Notamacropus eugenii: one gene and its partner. The protein of the gene in region 2 interacts with the protein of the main gene of each other region in a biochemical or structural test. Links are inferred from orthologs where the notes say so. Each region holds a gene or a part of one and is shown on either strand. Other genes may lie near its edges.

The links.
Region 1: the proteins of GLG1 (region 2) and SELE form a complex in vitro, tested with the Homo sapiens proteins (2 studies listed by BioGRID and IntAct). The link is inferred for Notamacropus eugenii from reciprocal best matches to the Homo sapiens genes GLG1 and SELE.

What each region holds. Positions count from the first base shown.
Region 1 is NC_092873.1:476,659,844-476,671,795, reverse strand, and holds the start of SELE (E-selectin), read right to left. Parts: upstream 4,769-11,952; 5' UTR 4,656-4,768; intron 4,057-4,655; 5' UTR 4,024-4,056; coding exon 3,972-4,023; intron 3,556-3,971; coding exon 3,169-3,555; intron 2,292-3,168; coding exon 2,184-2,291; intron 2,034-2,183; coding exon 1,854-2,033; intron 1,196-1,853; coding exon 1,010-1,195; intron 893-1,009; coding exon 704-892; intron 1-703. UniProt on the Homo sapiens protein: Cell-surface glycoprotein having a role in immunoadhesion. Mediates in the adhesion of blood neutrophils in cytokine-activated endothelium through interaction with SELPLG/PSGL1. May have a role in capillary morphogenesis.
Region 2 is NC_092872.1:713,602,406-713,613,971, reverse strand, and holds the start of GLG1 (Golgi apparatus protein 1), read right to left. Parts: upstream 4,521-11,566; 5' UTR 4,491-4,520; coding exon 4,065-4,490; intron 1-4,064. UniProt on the Homo sapiens protein: Binds fibroblast growth factor and E-selectin (cell-adhesion lectin on endothelial cells mediating the binding of neutrophils).

The DNA of each region.
Region 1 (11,952 bases), on a different chromosome or scaffold from region 2:
AAGAGCTCATTGTGGGAGGTGGGTGGACACCAAAGAGAACTTTTGCTTACTTTGAAGTTTTACCAAGGGTCCTGATTGTTTGCCTGCATGACTCTGAAACAAACACTTCTTTCTGGATACCTCTGGCACTCCAGGATGAGTTTGCTAATTCTTATATGACTTGCTAGGTTTCAGGGTCTCTGTCCTTCTATTGGAAAATATGTAAATATGCATTTACACTCAACATGTACTTGAGTGTCTACTCTGTGCCTAGTATTGTGACAGAAACACTTCATAAATTTTAAAATCAAGAGCTGGGCAGGATCTCAGAGACTATTATTTCTATCACATTAATGTTGCTGCCTCTTCTATCTTATTATCCCCATCTTCCAACTTATATAAGACATAGCTCTTATTGGCATGTACCTATGACATTCTAAATAGGAACCAATCTTGTGATGTTTGCATGTAGCCAATAATGGAGCACAAGCTCATTTGAATAAGCTACTCTTCAATGGTGAAGAACAACTATTTGATGCTCTGTGACTGCTTGGGGGGAAATTGGTTAGACCAGCTTTATACCTAGAGCTAATTAACTGGTTTAAACACAAGTGGGGCTCACAGTGCCCACTGAATCTGATCTCAGAAGTTCAAGTAGGTGCCTGGCTTCATTTCAAGCTACTCAACCTGTCATGTTATCATGTTAAAAGAAATTTGGTCCTACCTTCACAGGTTGGGAATTTCTGTGTCCACTGCCCCTGAGCCGTACACTCGAGCAGGGATGATCCTTTTGGCTCAAAGCCTTCCTCACAGCTGAAATTACAAACTGACTGGTAGGTAAAGTCTCCAGTGGGCGGATGGACACACTTCACAAAGCCATGGTGGGGCTGGCTGGGAGCATTACATTTCACTGCTGAAGCACACAGAAAAGCACACACACATCATTCCCATTAGCCTTCTCTTTGACCCCTTTAATAATACATTACAGAACCAACCCTTTCAATTGCCTCTTGATTTTAAGACATCTTACCTTGACACGTTGGTCTCTCCATGTCCCACTTCCCAGATGAGCTACAATGAAGCTTCTTGGATCCCTTTAGCTCAAATCCTGACTCACAGCCAAACACACAGGTTGTATTCCATGGAAAGATTCCAGAACTTTGGGAGCAATTCATGGATCCATGAGCAGGACTTGTCAGTGCATCACACTCCACCACTAAAAATGAGAAGTGAGACCATGAATTTGACAGAACAGCATAGTTCTTCTGTGTTGGACTTGGACAGTCCTACAAGTCCCTAAAATAAGAGTCTTGAGGACAGTACACTAAACCTTTCATATGTGATTTCTGATTATCTACATTGAGAATTATCAATTCAAAGTCCCTGTACTTTGCTAACATAAAGTGAACCTTGATTTTCTCAAGCCCAAAAGGAACTGTAAGAGAAGGAATTCTAAGTCAAATTGAAATTATCCCTGAGGCAAACCAATAAATGTGTAGAAATATTGGCTTTGTTTTTAAGCTAACATTTTATATCAGTCTAAAGATGAAATAATCTATTCCCAGTATGGAGGAGTAGGTTGGATACGTAACGAAAGGAAGTGACTGGAGAAGAAGTGTTGTTTTATTTCTGTTGTTGTCCCAAATATTCTACAACCACAACATGGGGATCATTCCTATTCAAATAGAATACAGTACACCTTTCAAAAGCCAAAGGCCTATCATGCATTACTCTGACTCCTGAGTTGACTGTATATATCTGAAGACAGAGTGAGCTATGCTCTTAAAGGGTTTCTAAAATAATCTAGGTGGGATAAGAAACAGGGATTCTGGAATGAGGCCCCAAACTTTCTATACCAAAGAAAAGTGAAATACCTTTACAAGTAGGGCTAGGTCTGCTCCATTTTCCAGAAGAAGTACACTGCACAGAGTTAGCATTGGTTGGAACATAGCCTTCTTCACAACTGACAGAGCAGGAAGAATTGAAATACCCCACTGGATCACTGCAAACCAGAACGCCATGCTCAGGATTGGCCCGAGATTCACAGGTCACAACTATGATAGAAAACAAAATCAGTCTGACTCATTCTTCGTTTTGATATAAGAGGGAAAGTGATATGATGGAGACCACGCTCCAAAGACAGGAAGGAGGATGAGGTGAGGTTGAAAGAATTGAGCACATGGATTAGGCAGAGCCAGTCTTACCATGCTCACACTGAGACCCGGTGAACCCTGGGTAGCACTGACAAGTAAAGCTGTTGATGGTCTCCACACACTCCCCATGGCCATTGCAGGAGTTGCTGTTACAGGAGGCTGAAACCAAAAGGATCATCACTGCTGCTGCCATAGGTCCTTCATATGAATCATCAGAATGCTTGCTAAAGGAGGGCTGTTTAGAGGACCCAAATCCTGTTGGCCTGCTGGGCTTTTTATTTTAGCTTAAGGGCCTGTCAAGAGGGCAGACTGACATTTTTTAGGTTCCCCTTTCCCGAATCTCATTTTTAATATATTTCAGACCAAAAAAATCACATAAGGTGGTGTTCACTATTGCAGAGGACCATTTTCCAAAACGAAGGTACTATATTTCCTCACTGGCTCTGAACATTGATACTCAATGCACCAGATACACACATATCTCCACCTCAGTGACCATCACTTCATACATAAACACACACATACACACACATGCACACACTGTGGTGATGATAGTGATAATGAAAGCAATGAGGAAGAGGAGGACACTAGCTTGCATTTCTATAGTGCATTAAGGTGTGCAAAGATCAAATATAATCTCATTTTATCCTCTCAACAAACCTGAGAAGTGCTATTATTGGAGGTCCTATTTTTATCCCCATTTTTCAGAGGAAGAAACAGGATGAGAGAGGTGACTTGCCCAGGGTCACATAGCTAGGAAGTGCCTGAAGCCATATTTGAATTCAGGTCTTCTTAATAGTAGGGCCACCACTCCATCCAATGCACCACCTAAGACTTAGAGTTACAAATAGATTTACATACATTAGCTCATTCTTTCAGCATAGGAAACTTTTGAGGGAGGTACTTCAGGGTCAAATGAAATGATATGTATAAGGTACTTTGCAAACCTTAAAACTCTTTAGAATTTTTAATAGCTATTATTCAAGTATTACTCTCATTCACTCTACCAATATCTCTTCCAACTAATTCATCATACCTGTATAACACAAGGCCAGCTTCTCTTTTGTGCACCTTTCATCATTCCACATGCCTGAGTCTTTGCTCCTCTTGATATAGATCTCCACGCAGTCCTCATTATTTTGCTTATTGTTGGGTTCACCAGGAGCCCAGTTCATGGCCTCTTCGGTCAGTGACTTCTGTGTCCCTACCCAGGTCCAGACACCATTGATTTTTCTGATTCCAATCCAGTAGTAACTTGGGGAGAATCTTAGTGTTCTATTCAGGTATTCAATTTCATGCTTGTTTTGAATGGCAACCAGGTCTGTATACCTTTCCTGGCAATATTTCCTTGCCATTTCATAAGTCATATTCACTTCAGAAGAGGCATACAGCCAAGCATCACTCCTTTCAAACAGAAGAAATGCTAGAAAAAAGAAATGGTATAGTTTTATCCTGTGAGTATACTGTTCTTTTGACAGATATTTTCCCTCATTTTATAGGTTTGTTTGGGGTTTTTGCCCTTGAAATAATACCCATATGGTTGGGCAAGCTTAGGAATCAATATGGAATTTTCCTGGGGATTTTGGGGTGACCTGAACTTTTGTTACCCTTCTAGGAGTGGAAAAGAGATTAGCAAAGACTCCTCATTCCTAGAAATTCTGCCCAGTGCCTTGGCACCAGGCAATTTTTCTCAGCTTCCCACTGTAATATCATTTGATCTAATATCACATTTTCCCAGAACCAAGTAATGACATTACAGAGGGTATCCCTATACAAAAGGAGTTTTTTTATCCCATTTTAATTAGTGATAACAGTTTTCTCAAGCAAATATGATCTTACCAAAGATGAGACCAGGTAGAAATGACAAGACAGTCATCATTTTGGAAACCATCCTTTTCTTCACAGTATTAGCGTTGGAATAATTCTTTGGGAGAAAAAGAAAAGAAAAGAATTTATTTTTAAAATGAAATTGACATTTTAAAATCTCTTTAAGGTTTCTAATGTGATTTACATATATAATCCCATGTGCTTCTCACAGAAACCCTCTAGGGGTAGATTCTGTTTTTAATCACTATTTTATGGGTGAGGAAACTGAGACTCCTGGGGGCTTGTCCAGGGTCACACAGCTAATAAGTATTTGAGGCAGGGTTCCAATCCAGCCTGACTCCAAGTCCAGCACTCCATCCACTACCTTATGCTATCCCATTATCCTTAATATTATAAAAGAATATGCCTCTTGAAAATATGGTAAGATGTTGACTCTAAAGAACCACGAAACCATGAGATTGATAGACATTGCTTTACATGTTATTCTTCAAAGGCAAAGCCTTAAAGCCTCCAACAAGTTATCAAAAACTGGATTCTGAATTTACATCCAGCACCAGAGAGAAAGCTGGACTTTTAGCTTCTCTGAAAATTACACAAATCCGCCTGGGAGAAGTTGGCCGATTACCTTCTCCATCCAGAATCTTGGTCCTATAATGAATCCTGAACAGGGTTTAGTTAATAGTCAATTGTACTTACCGTTCCACAATCTGGTAATCTCCTCTCCCGATTTCCTCAAGTGGTGTCTTGCTGTTCACACTGAGCTAGCTCTTTCCCACTCTGGCTGTAGCCTGTCAAGAACTGTAGCACACCCTGGGCTTGCGAGTCCTTTTAAAGGCAGCACTTCCTATGGAATTCCATGACCCAATGGTTGAATAATAGGAGGATGTCACCAAGTTAGAAAGTGGGGAATTTCCCAAGAAAGAAAGATTCCGGGGATTGTCCACAATATTACCAATCCCGTGCTGATAATAAACTCCTTCCCCAAGGTTTGCCACCCCTCCTACATTCTACCATTCCTTTGATGTGTTTTATATATTCTATGATTTGCTATAGCCTAATAAGTAAGTTCTAGAATTAGAAATAACACACAGCCATTCTTCCTAAACACAGGCAAATACAGACCAGTTTGGGACTGACAAATGGGACTGACCAGCTGAGATTTTCGAATCAGCAGCTATCTCTACTTTGCCAACAAAATCTACTTTTCTTTGTCTACCTCACCAATTCAAGGGTTTTTAAGGAGCAGTGTCTTTCTGAAAACTCTAAAAAGTGCATATCTAATGTATGTCTATAAACAAGCACTAAAACGGATAACAAAAAACAGTACTCTTTTATTATATGTGTATAATAAAGGCAAGTACAAAAAAAAATCTTACAAAACAGAAGACAGCATCAAAAAGTGTCCTATATCCAGACTCTTACAAGCATTATACATCTAAACACACTTCCAGGTACTCTCCATTCCTGTTCTTTGATTTTCAGCATGTTGACGCTAGTAACAGCTGACATCTGTGCCACTCTTTAAAGTTTGCAAGGAACTTCATCAGTATATTTTAATTAGATCCTCACAATAACCCACTAAGGGAACTATCACAGGTATTAATTATCCCTATCATACAGATGAGAAAACTGAGGCTCACAGACATAGAGTAACTTGCTTATGGTCACAAAGTTTAAAAAAAAATGCTAGAAGTGGGATTCACACCCAAGTCTCTACCCCTGTCAGGTCCTGAGCTGGTTCTAATATCCCATCTGTCTTTCTTTTTCAAAGTTTTATTTTTAATTTGTGAAATAACATAGAGTAATTTTTAAAAAGATGATTGCGCATGAAGCTGCAAATCTGCTATGTACAATTTACTATTCCTTTCAAGTGTACAACAAAATTATCATGAAAATTTCTATTTTTCTTCCCTCCCCCCTGAAATGGCTACCACTAGACACAAATAGAGGTGTATATGTGTATATATATATATATACATATATATATATATATACATATATATATACATATATATATATATATATATACATATATATATATATAAAAATGTGCGTGTGTGTATGCATTTATATGTAAAATTATTCTATACATACTTCTATTTATCAGTTCTTCCTCTGGATCCATACAGCATTTTTCTTCATATGTTCTTTATAGTTCATTTATGGATTTATAGTAAACATAACTTATTCACCCAAAATAATTCTTAAAACAATATTTCTGTTACTTGGTTCTAATTATTTTGTTCTTTATTATTTCGTGCAAGTCTTTCCATGTTTTTCTAAAATCATTGCGCTCATCATCTTTTAGCACAGTAGTATTTCATCTCAATCATATGCCACAGCTTGTTTAGCCACTCCCCAATTGATGGGTATCCCTGTAATTTCCAGTTCTTTGTCACCACAAAGAGAACTGATATAAACATTTTCTATCTTTCTAATGAGTAAATGTCTATTCTTTCCCCTTTGTTGCAACCCTAATTGAGACAATATAGGTACAGGGAGCTATGAGAGGGCTATGTTCAGAGCTCAGTGATTAAATCAGGAATGGTTTCTCAAGATCTCAGGTGTCTTTCCTAGTCCCCAGGCTAGGGGACCCTAAGAAACAAAGTAGTGGTTATGGAGTAAGAGGATCTTGGCTCAAATCCTGGCTTTGCAACTTACAACCTAGGTGACCTTGAGCAAGGCACCTGATATCTCTGAGCCTCAGTTTCCTTATCTGTAAAAGTAAAGGAGCTAAATTAGATGCACTCTGTAGTCTCTTCTAGCCCTTAATCTATGATTCTATAAACCTATGTGGCCTTCAAAAAATTGATTAACCTCATCTATAAAATTAGGAAGTGAGACTAGTTGACCTTTGAGATCCTTCTTAGCTGCAAACCTATGAATGATCCTATGGTACTTTTTGTAATGAGGGAACCTTAAGGTATCAGCTGCTTTAGCTACTAGGTTACAGCAGAGGGCACCATGGCACAGCAGGGGCTACAGTGGATAGAAAGTGACTTATGGGGAGAAGTTTAAAAACAAAGGAATTTTCAGGGTAAGAGATTGTATTCATAGGGATCATGAATCATTCAGGGATGACTTTTATATGGACTTGGATTTAGTGTTAGATGTTATTGTCGTATCTGCCAGATCAGATGCTGCTTGAAGCTATATATCAGCTACTCAAAGCTTGTATTTGCCAAAAGGAAGGAAAGTAAGCATTAAATTTGACCAAAATCTAAGGTCAGAATAGTTCCCAGAACCTGCAGGTCACCTTGCATCAAGATGCCACCAATGCCTACCTTGAATTAGTAGAAAATCTGGTAGGGAATAAATAGTTCCCTTCGACTTTCTGATTTAATATTAACTCCCAGTTGTTTTAGTGTTTCTACTCCTTCTTTTGAAGGAAGGTAGAAATGACCCCATCTTTCCATCAATGAGAATATTTAGCTTCCTTCAAATCCCAACCCATTGTCACTTCTCAGGAGAAGCCTTGGATTTATCTGTTTAAATGTTTTATTCTTCAGTAGAACGCCCTCCTTGAGGTCAAGAACTGCTTTTCATTTTCTCTTTGTTTACGCAGTGTCTAACTTAAAGGGAATTATAAGGAAAATGACACACAAAAAGTGAACTGCCCTGCCATTCACTTATTAACTCGGTAAATGTTTGTTAACATAGAGGTAAGAACTGGACTTGTAATTTCATTCACCCAGTTGAGAAAATTTGTGTCAATGTAGTTCAGCACCTTGATCTGCAACCTAGATAGTTCTGGAGTACATAGAAGTTAAATGCCCTACCTGGATCACACAGCCAGAATTTGTCACAGGTACGACTTGAACTCAGGTCTTTTTATACTTCAGACATTGTCTTTTCTTTATATATGAAACGTAAATTTTTTGTTCAGTCATTTCAATTGTGTCCAACTCTTCATGTCACCATTTGATATTTTCTTGGCAAAGATAGTAGAGTGGTTTGTCATTTTTTTCTCCAACTTAGTTTATAGATAAGGAAACTGAGGTACACAAGGTTAAGTGACTTGCCCAGGGTCACACAGCTAAGAAGTGTCTGAGGCTAGATTTAAATTCACAAGGGTGAGTCTTCCTGACTATAGGACTTTACTGGGGCAGCTCCTATGTTGTAGAGGTATCCATTACTTTAGGCAGTCCAGTAGTGCTGAAACATAAGCTGGAAGTCTCAAGATAGGGGTCTGCCAGGGAGAAAGAAAGGGAAGTCATTAAAATGGTGAGACTGAGAATCATAAAGCAGCCTAAAAAAAAGAGTATTCGAGGAAATTCCACTGAAAGAAGAGGAGAGGAGACCCAAGTTGTATGCTGCTTCCTCTAAGAGAGTACAAAATCCTTGGTGGCAGGGACTGCTTCATTTTTCACTTTGCAGCTCCAGCAGATGCTTACCTAAGTGCTTGTTGGTTGATTGTGAAAGGAATGAATAAATGAATGAGTGAATAAATGAACGTGATGATACCGGGTACCTTCTCTAACCATATTCCTGCAAACAGTGATAACTTGGTAATTCGTGTTCATTACTTCCTGTGACTGCTGAAAGTAGCACTGTCACTTGCCTTCTGATGGCTCACTATCTCTTAGGGAAAATAAGTGTTTTGAATCTTCACAATGGTTTATAAGAGGCAAGGAATTATTTTTCCAGCAAAAAGAAAAGGGAATTATAAGGCAAATGACACACAAAAAGTGAAGTGGCCTGCCATTCACTTATCACGTGGCATGTAGATTCTTTTCATCTCTTCCCTGACACTGTAAAACTCTGGAATTCCCCCCAATACTCTTTTTTTTTAGGCTGCCTTATGATTCTCAGTCTCACCATTTTAATGACTTTCCTTTCTTTCTCCCTGGCAGACCCTTATCTTGAGACTTCCTCCTTATGTTTCAGCTCTACTGGACTGCCTAAAGTAGTGGATACATCTACAACATAGGAGTTGCCCCAGTAAATTCCCACAACGGAAGGTGTTTCCACATAAGGAAGGTTGGTTAATTTACAGGACTTTTCCTGAATGCTTCCAGATTGTCGTCTTTGAGGGGGAAAAAATCCCTGTGGCTGAGATCAGTCCCCTGTTTGTTTTCCTTGGCTGTTTTGCCTGCCTGTTTTCAGGCCAGAGAATAGCTCCTCCTGTTCTATTAATATCTCATTTCTAGATATTTCATGAGAAAAAAAATAAACCTTTCCCGTTAAGTTACTTTTAACCCTACTGTGTCTTTAATTAATCACAAAGAAAACAAGTAATTAAAAGAAAGTGCTAAAGAAAGAAAGGCAGCCCTACTGTAAGTGGTAGTGTCAAGTGCAAGGAGCAAAAGCCAACTTTTGTAAGCCTTCACGTGAGTGATAATGATGACTGTGGTCACCTTGGCTATTTGCTTCTCTTTGACCATATAACAGTCATTCTAATTCATGACCTCATCACTCCTCACCTGACTATTCAACGGATTCCTTATTAGTCTCTCTGCCTCCATTTTCTCCCTTTTCCAATCCGTCCTCCATACAGTTGCCAAATCAATACTCTTAAAAAATAGAATCAAACATGTAGGCCTTCTACTCAAAATTTTTCACTGATTTTCTTTGGTCTCTAGTATATAATACAAACTTCTCAGTAAAATGTTTAAAGTCATCCACAGTTTGGCTCCCATTCACTTTTTCAAACTTATTTCTTATTATTCACCTTTATGGAAGTCTTCTTTCTAGGTAGGGGCAGCTAGGTGACGCAGTGGATAAAGCACCAGTGCAGGAATCAGGAGTACCTGAGTTCAAATCTCACCTCAGACACTTGACACTCATTAGCTCTGTGACCTTGGGCAAGTCATTTAATCCCAATTGCCTCATCCTGAGTCATCTCCAGTCATCCTGATGAATGTCTGGTCACTGGATTCAGATGTTCTGGAAGAGAAGTGAGGCTGGTGACCTGCACAGCCCTCCCTCACTCAAAACAAAGTCAAGTGCAAGCCATGTCATCATTTCTCTGATGGCATGGTCCTCTTCAGCAACGAAGGACAAACACACTTTCTAGGCAAACCAACTATTAGTTAGTTATTCCCTAGACACAGAATTCCATCTCCCACTTCTATGCCTTTGTACCAGTGGTTCTCTCATCACCTCTCCCTCACAAAAATCTTAGTTTCCCTTAAAACAGAGCTCGGGTGCCAACTTCTACATTATTACTGCTTTCTCCCTCCTGCAAATACTTTGTACAGTTTTTAGCAGACTTCATATTTATTTACACAGGTCCATATTGTATGTCCCCATAAAATGCAAGTTTCCAAAAGAATAGTCATGTAGGCTCCTTGAAGTTAGCAACTACATAATTTTGTCTTTGTATCCTGAGCATTTCTCACAGTGCTTTGAACTGATACCACTTATATAACAGCCAACTTTTAGTGCTCGCAAAGGGTTGGATGCATTTTATATCATTTGATTCTCACAGCAGCACTGTGAGGTGGGTACTGTCATTATCTCCATTTTACACAGAATAAAACTAAGGCTGAGAGAAATTAAATGACTTGCCCAGGATCATACAACTATGAACTGTCTGAGGCATGATTTGAACTCAGGGCTTCTTGGTTACAAGTCCAGCTCTGTGCCAACCAGTTACACAGTAGGCAGTTAATAAATGAGTGTTTAGTTGAATTGAATCATGATCTTAGTCATTAAATAATGAAAGTATTATCTCCAAATCTCTGAGCACACTGATTAGTAAGGGGCAGCATGATACAATAGTCCTGCTTCCATCAAAAATTTATTGTTTTATCTTAACCAAATATCTTCACCTCTCTGAGTCTCAGTTTGTATAAAATGCATAAAATGAGTTGTTTGGATTAGATGATCTCTTGGGTTATTCCATCTCCAACATTCTAAGAGTCTATGACCTTCCTTTTAAGTTGGATCAATTATATCATATCTCTCCTGATAAATATTTGACCTTTGATCTCTGGTCCAGAGATGTCTATTATTCTCTAGAATGAAGCATTTAGGCTGAATATTAATATAAAATTATGCAACTAAGTAATAGGAATAATATCTAATAATAATAAAATTATAAAATATAATAATAATATCTAACATTTGTATAGTGCTCATTATGTACCAAGACAACAACCCTTCGAGGTAGGTGCAATTATTATTTGCATTTCATAGATGAGGAAACTGAGGCAGACAGAGGTTAAGTGATTTGCCCAGGTTCACAAGCTATTAGATTAGATACTCGTAGCTGGTGCATTTTCTTTTTAGCAAAACAGTTAAGTGTATTAATCAAGGTCTTAGTGTCATTAGTGGAAGCTGCTTTGAACAGTAAGATCCAACCCTTTTAATGGATACCCCCTCTCCCAACACCCTTAAGTATAATAAGTATATTGCAAGGAAATGTCCAGACACAAATTATATGTAGAAGTACTCAGTCTTATGAGATTCAGTGGCTTAACACAGTTTTGGTGTATTCATCTCTCTCTAGCAGGTAGCAGGATAAGGCAGCTGGATGTAATGGATAGAGCTTTAAATATATAGCCAGAAAAACCTGACTGACACTTTACTAGCTGTGTGTTCATGAGCAGCTCACTTAACCTTTCAAAACCTCTGATTTTTTGTCTCTAATGAAGGACCACCAATCAACCAAAGGGCATATGATACTTGTAGTAATGGGTTCATAGACTTGACAATATATAGAAAAATCAATTTGCAAAATGTAAAGTGATATATAAAAGTCAATTGGCCACATGTGGCCCTCTAGGTCCTCAAGTGCAACCAGTCAAAGGGCCGTATGTGTCCTTGAGGCTGCAGGTTCCCCACGACTAGACTGGTCCATATGAACTTGAAAGAAGAGCCAAGATGAAAGCATAAGCAAGCCTGAAATATTGCACAATTCCTCCATTTACATATTGATCCTGCTTTCCACTGGAGAATCTGAGCCAAAAGACTTTTTCTCAATCCTCATCCCTTCTATTCTTTCTATAGTCTTTAACACTGTTGATCATTTTTTCCCATTTGATCACCC
Region 2 (11,566 bases):
TTTGCAAACTTTAAACTGCCATGCAAATGCCAGCTATGGTTATTATTACAGACTGCTGATCCTGGTGGGGAAGACCAGGCAGACAAGGATTCTCTAGCTGCCTGTGACCCAACTGTTAAAGGCCCCATGTATGTCCCTCCAGCAATTGGCCCACAATTGGTCCAGCTGCTTCCCACATCCCAGCTGTCTCATCTTCCAGTTCTCTTTGGAGAAGCAGAGGTTGAAAAAGCAGCTCTATTTTATGTAAATTAAGCAGATGTAGAAGGAGTCTGACAGAGTCTTCTTGTTTTGCGCATATTCTTGGTTTAGGACTAATCCATTAATTTATGTTCAATTCTAGGTGAAACAGTGGAGAGAGCACCTGACTGTCAGGAGATCTGGGTTCAAGTCCCAGCTGTCACAAACATCTAAGAAGGGTACTATTGTTTTCAGGGCAATAGGAATATGAAAATAAAACAAAAAACAAAAAAAAAAAACAGTCCGGGCACCAGGGAGTGTGCATTCTTCAGGAGCCTGATAAAACCTGCGAATCAATAAAGCAAAATTATCTGGACAGGGGCAGAGAACAATGAGCCAGATGAGGAAAGGATTTGAGAAAGGAGAAGTCACAAATCTTAGTGTGGAAGGAAGCTAAGGACAGAAAAGGCAGTGGTGACAAAAGCTGCCTCTGGGCATTCCAGACCTAGGAGGCGTTGGTGCAAAAGGATGGAGGTGGAAACCAATTCTGTGGTGACACTGCACAAGTCTGCCTCTCTAGCCTCAACTGATCATCTGCAAAGTGGGATGGCACCTGTGATCTCTAGCTCATCAGTCTATGAGGAAAAGTGCTTTGTAAACCTTAAGGCAGCATATACAGGTGAACTGTGATTATTATAAACTACTGAATATGCACTCTGAACACAGTTCTTGGGAACTAGACAACAGGCTGCAGAGGCCCTGAACCTTAGAATGAACTAAAGACCACAAGAGAGTTAGAACAAAGGCATCACACTTTCAGCCAGGCAAAAATCACCCAGTTAAAGGAAATATTTAAGAAAATAAAAACACAATACAACATAATGTGAATTTGTGGTTTGAACTAAGTTTGTCCTGACTCCAGGCCTGGTGCTCTATGTACTGTGGCACCCCTAGCCAGCTGCCCAACTAACTTCTCAGAGAGAAACTCTTTCCTGTGCAAGAAGGACTCAATCTCTAATGCCCTCTCATATATAGCAGGAAGGAAATTTGCACTTTATTCTTTATGACCATGCTTTGAAAAGAAGTCTTCACTTTCCAAAGCTACCAATCAGTCATCACTGTCATTATCATTATCATTTAACTGACTGACCCTTTGGTGAATTAAACTGCTTTAAAAATATTACTCATCTGAGAAAGTCTTAAAAAGATTCCCACTTAACACACTTTTAAAACTTTCAAAACAGAAGCTATGAAAAAGCCATAAACTAAACAATTCTTACTGAACATTAAGCACAGCTTCAAACTGTTCATGTACAGATTTCAAAATGTACTGCCACACACATCACCAGGCAGTTTTAAGTAACTGCGTGGACGCACAGAAGTAATTAATACATGGTATTAATCATTACCTTTAAGTATATCTAGAAATATAAACAACATAAATTTTAACATCCCACTAGGAAAAAGACAAACTAAAAAACTGTTTAAACTTAAGACTTAACCGGACAACTTATCATGCTTAGAATCAAAAGAAAACAGTGTGCATTCTTTTAGATTTAAATACTCTATGGATTCAGCACCTCTACCTCATAATTCTCATAAGAATTAAAAAAAAAACTTCCTCTAGATTTAAGTTCAAAGGAATTAAAAATGCTATCAGGTTCTTTGCCAAATGTTCCTATTCACAAAAAAATCTCCATTTCACTCTGTTCATAATTTTACATTTCATCTAAAGTACATGTCCTTAACCAAGTTGCTATCTTTCAGATGTATCGACCAGAGTTGATAAATTCCAGAGTCACATTAAATAAGATTCCATGTTGAAGACTTCAAAAGAAAACAGAAGGCAGGCTGTTCATGTTTTCTCAACTAAAGCAGCTTCAATTTAGAAGACATCTATTTCCACACTATTTCATGGATCCTCATCAGTCAATCAACAGCACTTACTAAGCATCTTCTGTGTATAAAGTGCTGTTCTCCATGGTCTAGTGAATTATTATAAATGAAAGCTTTATCTAGTAACTTCCTTTGGACAGCTCATACCACTTCTGTAAGAGGAACAAAATGAAGTCACATCCAACCTTTTTTTGTCCTGTCACCAAATGAGCTGATAGCCTACCAGGGACCAGGAATCCTTGTCTGGGATTCTTTCCACTTAAAGCAGGATTTCACTTACTGTGCCTCTTTAACAGATCCTATAATTAGTCCCATATAAATAGCCTGCCCTCCACCAGCACGGCTAACAGGGATTATAACAGCGACTGCTGGGTTTTAAACATTCCTACTGCATATCACGTAAAGCAGTATAGACACTGCTGGCCTGGGAGGCCCCAAACTTCAGCTCAAACACCCCCCTCTCCCTGTCAGCAGTGGGATCACCACAGCCTCACGCAACTCTAAGACGGTCAAAGTTATAAACAGACTGCAATCTGCTTTGGTGGAGGAAGTTCCCACACCAACCAAACCACAAGTCCTGGCAATACTGGCCATGTACGGGATTAGCACGCCCAGGGTGGGGAGGAAGATCTAAAGCTAGACAGAAAGGGTCTGCCTTCCCCGAGAGCACATACACACAAAATCCCCTGACCACGCGGAGCAGCAACAGCAAATACCATTAAGCGAGATGGAAATCGCAGAGTGCAGATCAGCTTGAGGAAAACCGGCTACACATCTCATGGCTAACGAAAAATTCCAAGAATCCTAAGGGAGCAGACCAGAGGATCAATGAAAATCTCAAGTCCATTGAATTGCTCCACCAGTCTCCAAACCTCTGCAGCTCCATTACTCGCTCGCAGCGACTCTAAACAAAAACAATCCCCGAAAAGCGAAAGGGGAAAAAAAATCACAGCAAATGCCAAACGTTACCAAGATCAAAGGAAAACATGTGCAATGTATTCTGTAACCGTCAAAGTGCTACATAAAAGGAAACTTTTTTATCCTTCTTATAAAACTCTAAACTTAAACTGTTGGAGAAAGACAAAATTTATCTAGGAATAAATTTCCTTTCTCTAAAGCTGTTGGTCAAAAAAACCCGTGTTTTTTTAAGCTGGACCTGTGATTTCGTTTGTGTCTGCATCCTCCCCTCCCAGAAAAGGGCACCTCCTCCGTAAGGCAGGGCACCCACGGGTCACAGTCCCAGCACTGCCCCAGGCACAGAGGAGTCAGTCAGGGGCCTCTCCTCCGGATAGCGCACAGTAGGGGATCAGACACCCCCATTTATCGGGGCGCGCTCTCCTGCCTCCCCACCGGCCCCGACCCAAGCTAGCGCCCCTGCTCCCGGGGCCTCCAGTAAACAGTCACTGCTAAGCGCATCGTGACCTCTGCAGGAAAGAGGAAACTCTCCGTACGGGCTGATTCAATCGCACCGATCACGGGCCGCCCGGCCATCGCCAAGCGACCGTCGGACAGCCAGAACCACATGTGGACGCCAGAGAGGGAGGCCGCCCCAAGATTACCGGGGGTCGACGGGCACCCTCCGAGGCGAACCCCACGTGCTTCCCTTTTAGGGGCAGCACAAAGTTACCGTGCTCGTGGGCAGCGCACCCAGAGCCCTTCCACACAATGCTCACCCCCAACGCGCCCCGGAACCAAGTGCCCCGGGCCCTGCCTTCGCCGCCGGCTGGGATGGGTCCCGGGCAAAGGCGCCCACCCCGCCGGCCTCGGTGTCCCCACCGCACCGGCTACGGGGTCCCGGCCCAGCCCCCGCACCGCGCGCACCAATGAGCGGCCGCGCCGCTTCCCGGGGTCTCCCCCGAGCTGTCACGGGGGAGGGGGCGCGGAGGAGCGGACGAGGCCCCCCGCCCGGGCCCGGGGCACAGGCAGGCGGCCGGCGGACGCGCGTGGGCCCGGGCCCGGCCCCCCGCCCCTCCCCGCGGGCGGGCGCTCACCTCCCGCACGTCCTGCAGACACTCGAGCACCGCCAGGTTGTTGCTCCAGGTGTGCTTGGGGCACACCCGGGTCACGTCCTCCCGACACGTCTCCTCCTCCGCCAGCTTCCAGCCGCCGCCGGGCCCCGCGCCGCCCCGCCGGGCCGGCCCCGCTCCGGCAGGGAAGAACTGCTGCTGCGCCTGCTGGGGCTGGGGCGGCTGCGGCGCCTGCGGCTGCTGGGGCGGCTGCTGAGCGTGCGCCTGAGCCGGCTGCTCCGGGGCCTCGGCGTAGGGCCTGTGGCCCAGCCCCGGAGGCTGGTGGAGGACTGCCAGGTTCTGGGGGTTCGGGGGGTTCTGGAGCCGCTGGGCCCGGGCCGCCAAGAGCAGAAGCAGCGGCAGAGCCGCGGACAAGGCGAACATCCTCCGTACACGTCCACACGCCGCCATCTTGGGTCCGCGGCAGCCTCGACGTACCGGGCGCCGCCACGTATTTAAATGAGGGGCGGAGCCACGGGGGGGGCCGTCGCCCCCGGCGAATGGGGGGCGGCCGAGCGGCGCGGGGGAAAGGTTACGGGGAGAAAGGGTGATGCCACATTCAAGATGGCGGCGCCTTAAGCGGACCTAGAGAACAGCGGGTTCTTCTCAAGTTTTCCTTTAATAAACTGAGGAAAGGAAGGAAAGAGAAGGAATGCCGAGTCAGGGTTGTGGTGGCTTCCCTCCGGCTTACTCCTTTGACTGGCGTCACTCGGTGCCTCTCCCAAGATGGCTGCCACGTCGCGCAGCGGCTTGAGTCAACATTCCAAAAAAAACTTTATGTGTGCATCTACGAACATGACAACCTAGGTCCTCCTGCCCTGCGATGGGGGTGGGGGGCAGAGAACCTCCCTGGACTCTCCCGCAAGCTGCCCCGCCCCCACTCCAAGGCACCTGCTCCAAGCGCTTTCGCTTCTGGAGGCTCCTGGGTCTCCTGCATCGTGGTGGTGCTGCTAAAAGTCTTAACAAGTGGCTTTTCTTTGGGGAGGGGTGGACTCGTTTTTGTCTTATTTTATTACTATTCATTTAAGTTCATTCTGCTTTATTTGCATTTTCTCCATCCCTTTCTTAAGTCTAGACAACACACAAAACCAGTAAATGACAATCCCCACTCTGAACATTTAACAATCGGCTCTTGCTCAGAAAACCCCAGAATCTAGACTTCCAGGCTCTTACAATAGCTAGCTTTCGTAGCCCTCTCTAAGATATTTACAAATATCTCACCTGACCCTGGCATCCATCCTGAGAGGCAGGTACTATGACTATCCCCATTTTACTGGGGAGGAAACTGAGGCACAGAAAAGGAAGTGACTTGACCAGGGTCCAACCGATGGTAAGATTTGGGAAATTATTTTAATTCAAGGTTTTCCAGCTCCCGAGTTCAGCTTTGTTCACTGCCAATCTGAGAGAAAATGCTGCTTTGGTCAGGACTCAAGTCCCTTCTAAAAGGCAAAGAGAAGAAAGGAAACGTGAATCAGTCCATTTCCCAATTTATCAGAAGTTTGGGTGAAAGAGATGGAATTTCAGTTGTCTACTCTCTATCTGTTTGCGGGGTTAGGAAACCAGGACGTTAGCCAGAATCTAGAAGGGTCTGCCCCCAACGAAGAGGAAAGGTAGCAAGATGTATAAAGTGTTTGGAAAATTACATATAGATCCATAGACATATAGATATATAGATATATGGTTGGTTGTCCTTCGTTCTCAGCGAGGCCATGATAAAGTGAAATTTCAGTGTGTACAACTGTGGCTGATCAGACCAATATGAGCTCAGAATGCTCTACCACAGGTTGAGCACAGACAATCCGTGTGAACATTTGGGGTGGTTACTCCAAATTTGTGCATCCTACGTTTCCTTTGTGCTGTCTCAATTCTGCTTTGCTCATAGAGCACAGCACCCTTTCTGATGTGGGCACGCCATGCTGAGTAGTCTCCCATGTTGCACAGTCAAATCCAAAGTTCTTGAGAGAGACCTTGAGAGAGTCCTTGTATCGTTTCTTCTGAACACCATATGATCGCCTGCCCCATGCGCGTTCTCCATAAAATAGTCTTTTGGCAAGCATACATTTTGCATTTGAATAACGTGGCCAGCCCATCAGAGTTGTGCTCTTTGAGGTATGGTTTGAGTGCTTGGCAGTTCAGCTAGAGCAAGGACTTCAGTGTCAGGTACCTTATCCTGCCAGGTGAGCCTCAGAATCTTCCTAAGACAGTTCAAATGGAAGCGATTCAGTTTCCTGGCATGGCACTGGTAGACTGTTCATGTTTCACAGGCATATAACAATGAGGTCAACACAACAGCTCTGTAGACCTTCAGTTTGGTAGTCAGTCTAATACCTCTTCTCTCCCAAACACTGAGCTAGCCCTGGCAATGCATGCATCAACTTCATTATCAATGTGTACATCCCTGGAAAGTACACTACCAAGGTAAGTGGTGATATATGATATCTATAAAGATAATTATAGATAGATATAGATATCTGGATAATGTTTTTTACCTATTTTTTTAATGCCATCTAAGATTTTGTGCTCCACATTCTAAACAGGTGAGATTCAAGACTTTGAACTTCAGTTTTGTCCTGCACCCATCAAGTGCTCAGTAAATAGACAATAGTATCAGGACTAAGGCTGTCCCTCATTTAACCAGTTAGGTAACTGAGACACAGAGAGGCTAATGGGCTTTGCCAGATCATGGAGTCACACTACCAGACAGTCAGTGACCAAACTGGAATAGGGAATCCAAGCCTCCTAAATTCCTAATCTCTTGACTTCTTCCATTTTATCACTTTTTCTGTCTCACCAGTTGGTTAATTAACATTATTTTGAATTTATTCATTTTTATTCTCTTTTTCTTCTTTTATATTTCCAATGCTTAAAGCAGTGCCTGGCACATAATAAGCTCTTTATCCATTGATCATTAACTCATTGTTCAAGAGACATTTCTTAAGTATTTACTATTGATGAGGCTGGGTGCTTTGTGCTGGGGAAGAAACCAAAGGAAAACATAGTCCAGACCCTCTACAAACTTATAATCTAATTGGGAAAGAATAAAATTGGTGGAAGTTTTGTTTACAGCTATAACTCCTTCCCCCAGACTCTGACCTGGGGCTACCAGCCACATCAGGGCTTCTCTGCCTTCTTGTCCCAAGTCCTTCTTCATCCTTTTCTCCCCAGTCTGTGGTAAGGGAGGTCATTCATTGGCCTGGAGAATGGTTAGAGCTGGCCTTTTTGTACATGCCTTCGAGATTATTGTTAGTCCTTCGTTCTTGAAGAGGACCATGACATGGGGGAGGTAATGCCAGGGCTTGCAAGTGAATTGGATTGAAGTGGGGCAGGGCTGGGCAACGTCCCCTGCCTCACTCTATCCTCCAGAGTCATTGGAGTCCGGTGGCAGGATATAGATCAGGACAACTGGAGAAGGCACCAGATGTAGTGGAAGACCTTGGTCTTAGAATGTTCAGGCTAAACGAGGCTTTAGATATCGACCAGCCCAACTTACTTTACAGTAAAGGAAACTGAGGATCAGGAAGGGAAAGCCCTTTTTGCTTGAGAACATGTCAAAAGCAGCCTCTGCTCTTTGCTCCATACCACTTTCTCTCCACGGTCATTATAAGCCTCACAATTCTAGAAGAGGATGGTGGTGACATTTTTTTGTTTGAGACTCCGGCTGGTAGGTTGATAAGGAGCTAAATCAAACAGCCTCTCAACAAGTTGGTAGCCTGCTCCAATCTGTTATTTTCCTCTCTTCTTTGTTGGTCCTGCTAAGATAGGAAAGTTCAGACAGCTTCTTGTTCTTATCTGCAGTGAAGATCATTGTCTTGGGTATATTTCCTTACTGCAGGCTGATAACCAACCTCTAGGAAGATAAGTGACCCAGGATGTTATGCTGAGTCTGTCCACAATCTCTCCACATCTGCTTGTTCATGCACACCCAGGGCAGTCATTGGAAATACCAGTCCCTGGGTAACAGTCTCAAGGACTTTTCGTAATCTTCACAGCCCTGGGGAGCCAGACAAGTCAATGACATTTATTTCTGACCATTGGACTCTGAGGTTTTCAACTGACTAACCTCAGTCAAACTTGTGTCCTCTCTGCTGGCAGTGACCCAGAAGAACTGCAGAACTCTATGAACAGAAATGGTAGGTAACCACAGTCTTAGGATTTAGAGCCAGAAGGGAACATTAGAAATCGTTGAGACCTAGACAGAGGCTCAGAGAGCCAGAGGTGATGCTGGGAGGGACTTGAGAGGTCATCCAATCCAATCCCCTTATTTTACAGAGAAGCCAGTGAGGCTGTAACTTACCCAGGAAGATACAGGTAAGCACCAGAGGAATAATTTGAATCTGGGTCAGAACCAGTGTTCTTTTCAACCCCTAAATTTTACAGTGGAGGAAAAAGAAGTCCAGAAGTTGTAGTTTTGCCCAGATGGTGGAGATAATAAGTAGCAGAGTTGAGATTTGAATCCAAGACCTCTGACCCTGAATCCATTGATGGAGAACTCCACATCTGGGAGTAAAGCATGTAAGACTCAGGTTTGTGACCATTCAAAATGTACTGAAAAGAAGTCAAACCTCCTGAGTAGTATGTTGGTAGTTGGCTCCTGCCCCACAGTGATTGACTGGCTCGATTCTTGCTCAATGCATTGTAGTTCTGCCTTTCCAAATACTGGCCTTGGAACTGCCCAATAATAAAACAACTGACATTACCAGAAATGCCTAGGGAATGTTGGTGCATTGAGTTTTCCCGTTAACTGAGGATGCCTCCAGAAACCCTCTGTGTTCTAACCTGTGTTGTTGAATTCCCTTCTACGATGCCAAGTCATTTTTGTGTCTCAGCAAAACTCAGTGTTTTGAACATGAGTGAAGTTCTGTTTTCTGAAGGAGAATCTTGTAGGACCTCAGTCTTCATGAGGAAAGGGGATAAAGATGTAAGAAACTGGGCTGAATCAGCACTGAACTCAGTGTATTCCCGGAAAGGTATTTTTGTTTATTTGTTTTTAATTACTCACTGACCTCAGATTGTTTCCTGGACAAAATAAATATTTGTTGGATGAATGAATGGCATTTCCTACTTTCCCCTGAAGAGAAGAAGCCAAAAAAAAATCCATTTAATTTCGGACCCCAATTAATTGGCTCTTGAGGAGACTTTATATTCTTACTCATATTATGGATCCCAGTCAGACAGTCAGTCAGTTAACAAGCATTTACTAAGGGACTACAATGTGCCAGGAGCCCTGGGAACACACAGAAAAGCAAAAACTAGTTCATACTCTCAAGGAGCCCTCTGTCTAATAGGAGAAAAAAATGTGCCAAAGACCATGTACAAGCAAGAGATTGAAAGGATAAATTAGAAGTAATCTCAGAAGGAAGGCACTGGATTTTTTTTTAAGCTTTTACAAAGAAAAATTCACTTCAAAAAATATAATCACAAATATATAAACTTATCCCCCCAACATATGGGAGGCATAATTCCCTCTATGCCCCCATACCACCTTGGTCTTGGGGGTGGAAAGGAGATCAGGTTAAGAGTGTAGAGCATGGTCCCTGTTCCAAATCCAAACCCCACTCATCCCCACCAGGTCCAGGTATCTGGCCATGGTGACCTTGAGCCAGGATTGCAGAAGGCATGCAGAGAAGCCTAGAGAAACCATGGTACCTGGGAAGTCACTAAATAAGGGGAATTGGGAAAGGCTTTTTACAAAAGGTGGCATTTTAGGTGAGAAATGAAAGAAACCCAAAGACTGAAATGAACAGGGAGAGAATCCCAGGTATGGGGGACCAACCAGTGAAAATCCTAGGAGTTGGAAATTAAACTCTTGTTAATTGAAGAGTTTTCCAGGGAACTGGATGCTAATGTTCATTCAAATGGAGTAAATCTGATGTTAATATATGTGTGTTTATGTATGTATGTATGTACGTATATGTATATATCATTGGAAGGGGGGAGCAAACTCATTTTAGGAAGTGATTTATTGGCTCAGTGTGGACCTGGTTTTAAAGGCAATTCAAATGACAAACATCTTTATCCACAGGAACCACGATACTACCTGATTCTAGTGCTTCTCAGCAATAATAATGGTTGACATTTTTATAACATCATACAGTTAACAAAGTTCTGTCTGTCTCCACAATATGCCTATGAATTAGTTCCTGGGGACTTAGGAAACAAATTTTAGTTTCAGATCTACCATTTCTAGTCTCTCCATTTTACAGAGAGGGAAACTGAGTCCCCATAAAGTAAACAGTTTTGTTCAAGGTCATGCAGTGAGTCTTGTGCTGGTATCTAGGACTAGACTCAGATCCCTGACTTCTCAGGGATTGTTTACTTAGCTATGGGAGCACTGAAATCCCCCAACTGAGGACCTGCATTTCCCCTGAGTCCCCAAGCCAGGTAATCAGATATTGGCATGGCATTTACTAATGCACTGTTATTTCCTCCCTTTGACTCCAATCAGGAGTGACTCACTCTTTGATGGGAAAGAAAGAGCAGTCTGTCTGGCTGATGATGTCAACTGTGCCCTTGCAGCGGAGCTCAACGGAAGCTGTTGGCCACAGACAACTCCCAAGGCTCAAGCCCTGTCTTGGATGATGGGGGCAAAGGTGCAGGCAGCCTCTGAGGAGCTTTGCAGACTTAGAATTCTGGATAAGATGGTGCAAGGCAGCTCCAAGAAGCATAGGGAGTGTGCTACCTTGGGAAGTAGTAAGTTCCTCTTTCCTGAAGGACTTTGGGTGACCACCTGTCAGGATATCAGAGAGATGACTGCTGCTCCATTTGGGCCAGAGGGCTTCTGAGGACCCTGCTTGGCTCTGAGATTCTATAATTCTGTGAAAATGGCTGTACTCACAAAGACAGCTTTTAGATATTAAGGGCTCCGTCTGCAGCATTCTAATGCCATTGTCTTTACCTTTCTTTCTTTTAAGCTTTCGTCAAAACTTACCTGTCTTGTATGTCAGGTTAGAAAGTATAGTTTTCTCTTTTCTAAAAGGACATGGAGTTTGTGTGAACATTCTTTTCTCATAGATAAATGAGAAAAATAGCCTTCCTGCCTTTCCAGATATTATGACTATATGCCAGGCACTGGGGCTACAAAGAAAGGCCAAAAAAGAGTACCTTATTCTCAAGGAGTTTGCAGTCTAATCTGACACCAGTCACCTTTTGGAGAAAGAGTATAAACCCAAAGAAATGACTCTAATGTGGTCTTTTAGAGATGGTAAAATATTTGGAGCTAAATGAATTCATGTGTTGTTTTTCAGATCATTATATAAGCAGTCTACTCGGGCAGCTAGCTCTGCCCCTGATTATATAGGAGATTAAAATAGAGACTCCAGCAGATTCCCTTCCTGTCCTTCCTTCCTCCAGCCTACATCATAAAGCTCGAGTTCTGTGCCAAGGGTGAGGAGGGCGGCCACCGTGGAAGCATGGTGTAAACATGTACGAAGAACTCTAGGCCAAGATGCACTTGTCCAAGGCACAGGCCTTGTGAATGATTAGCTGGG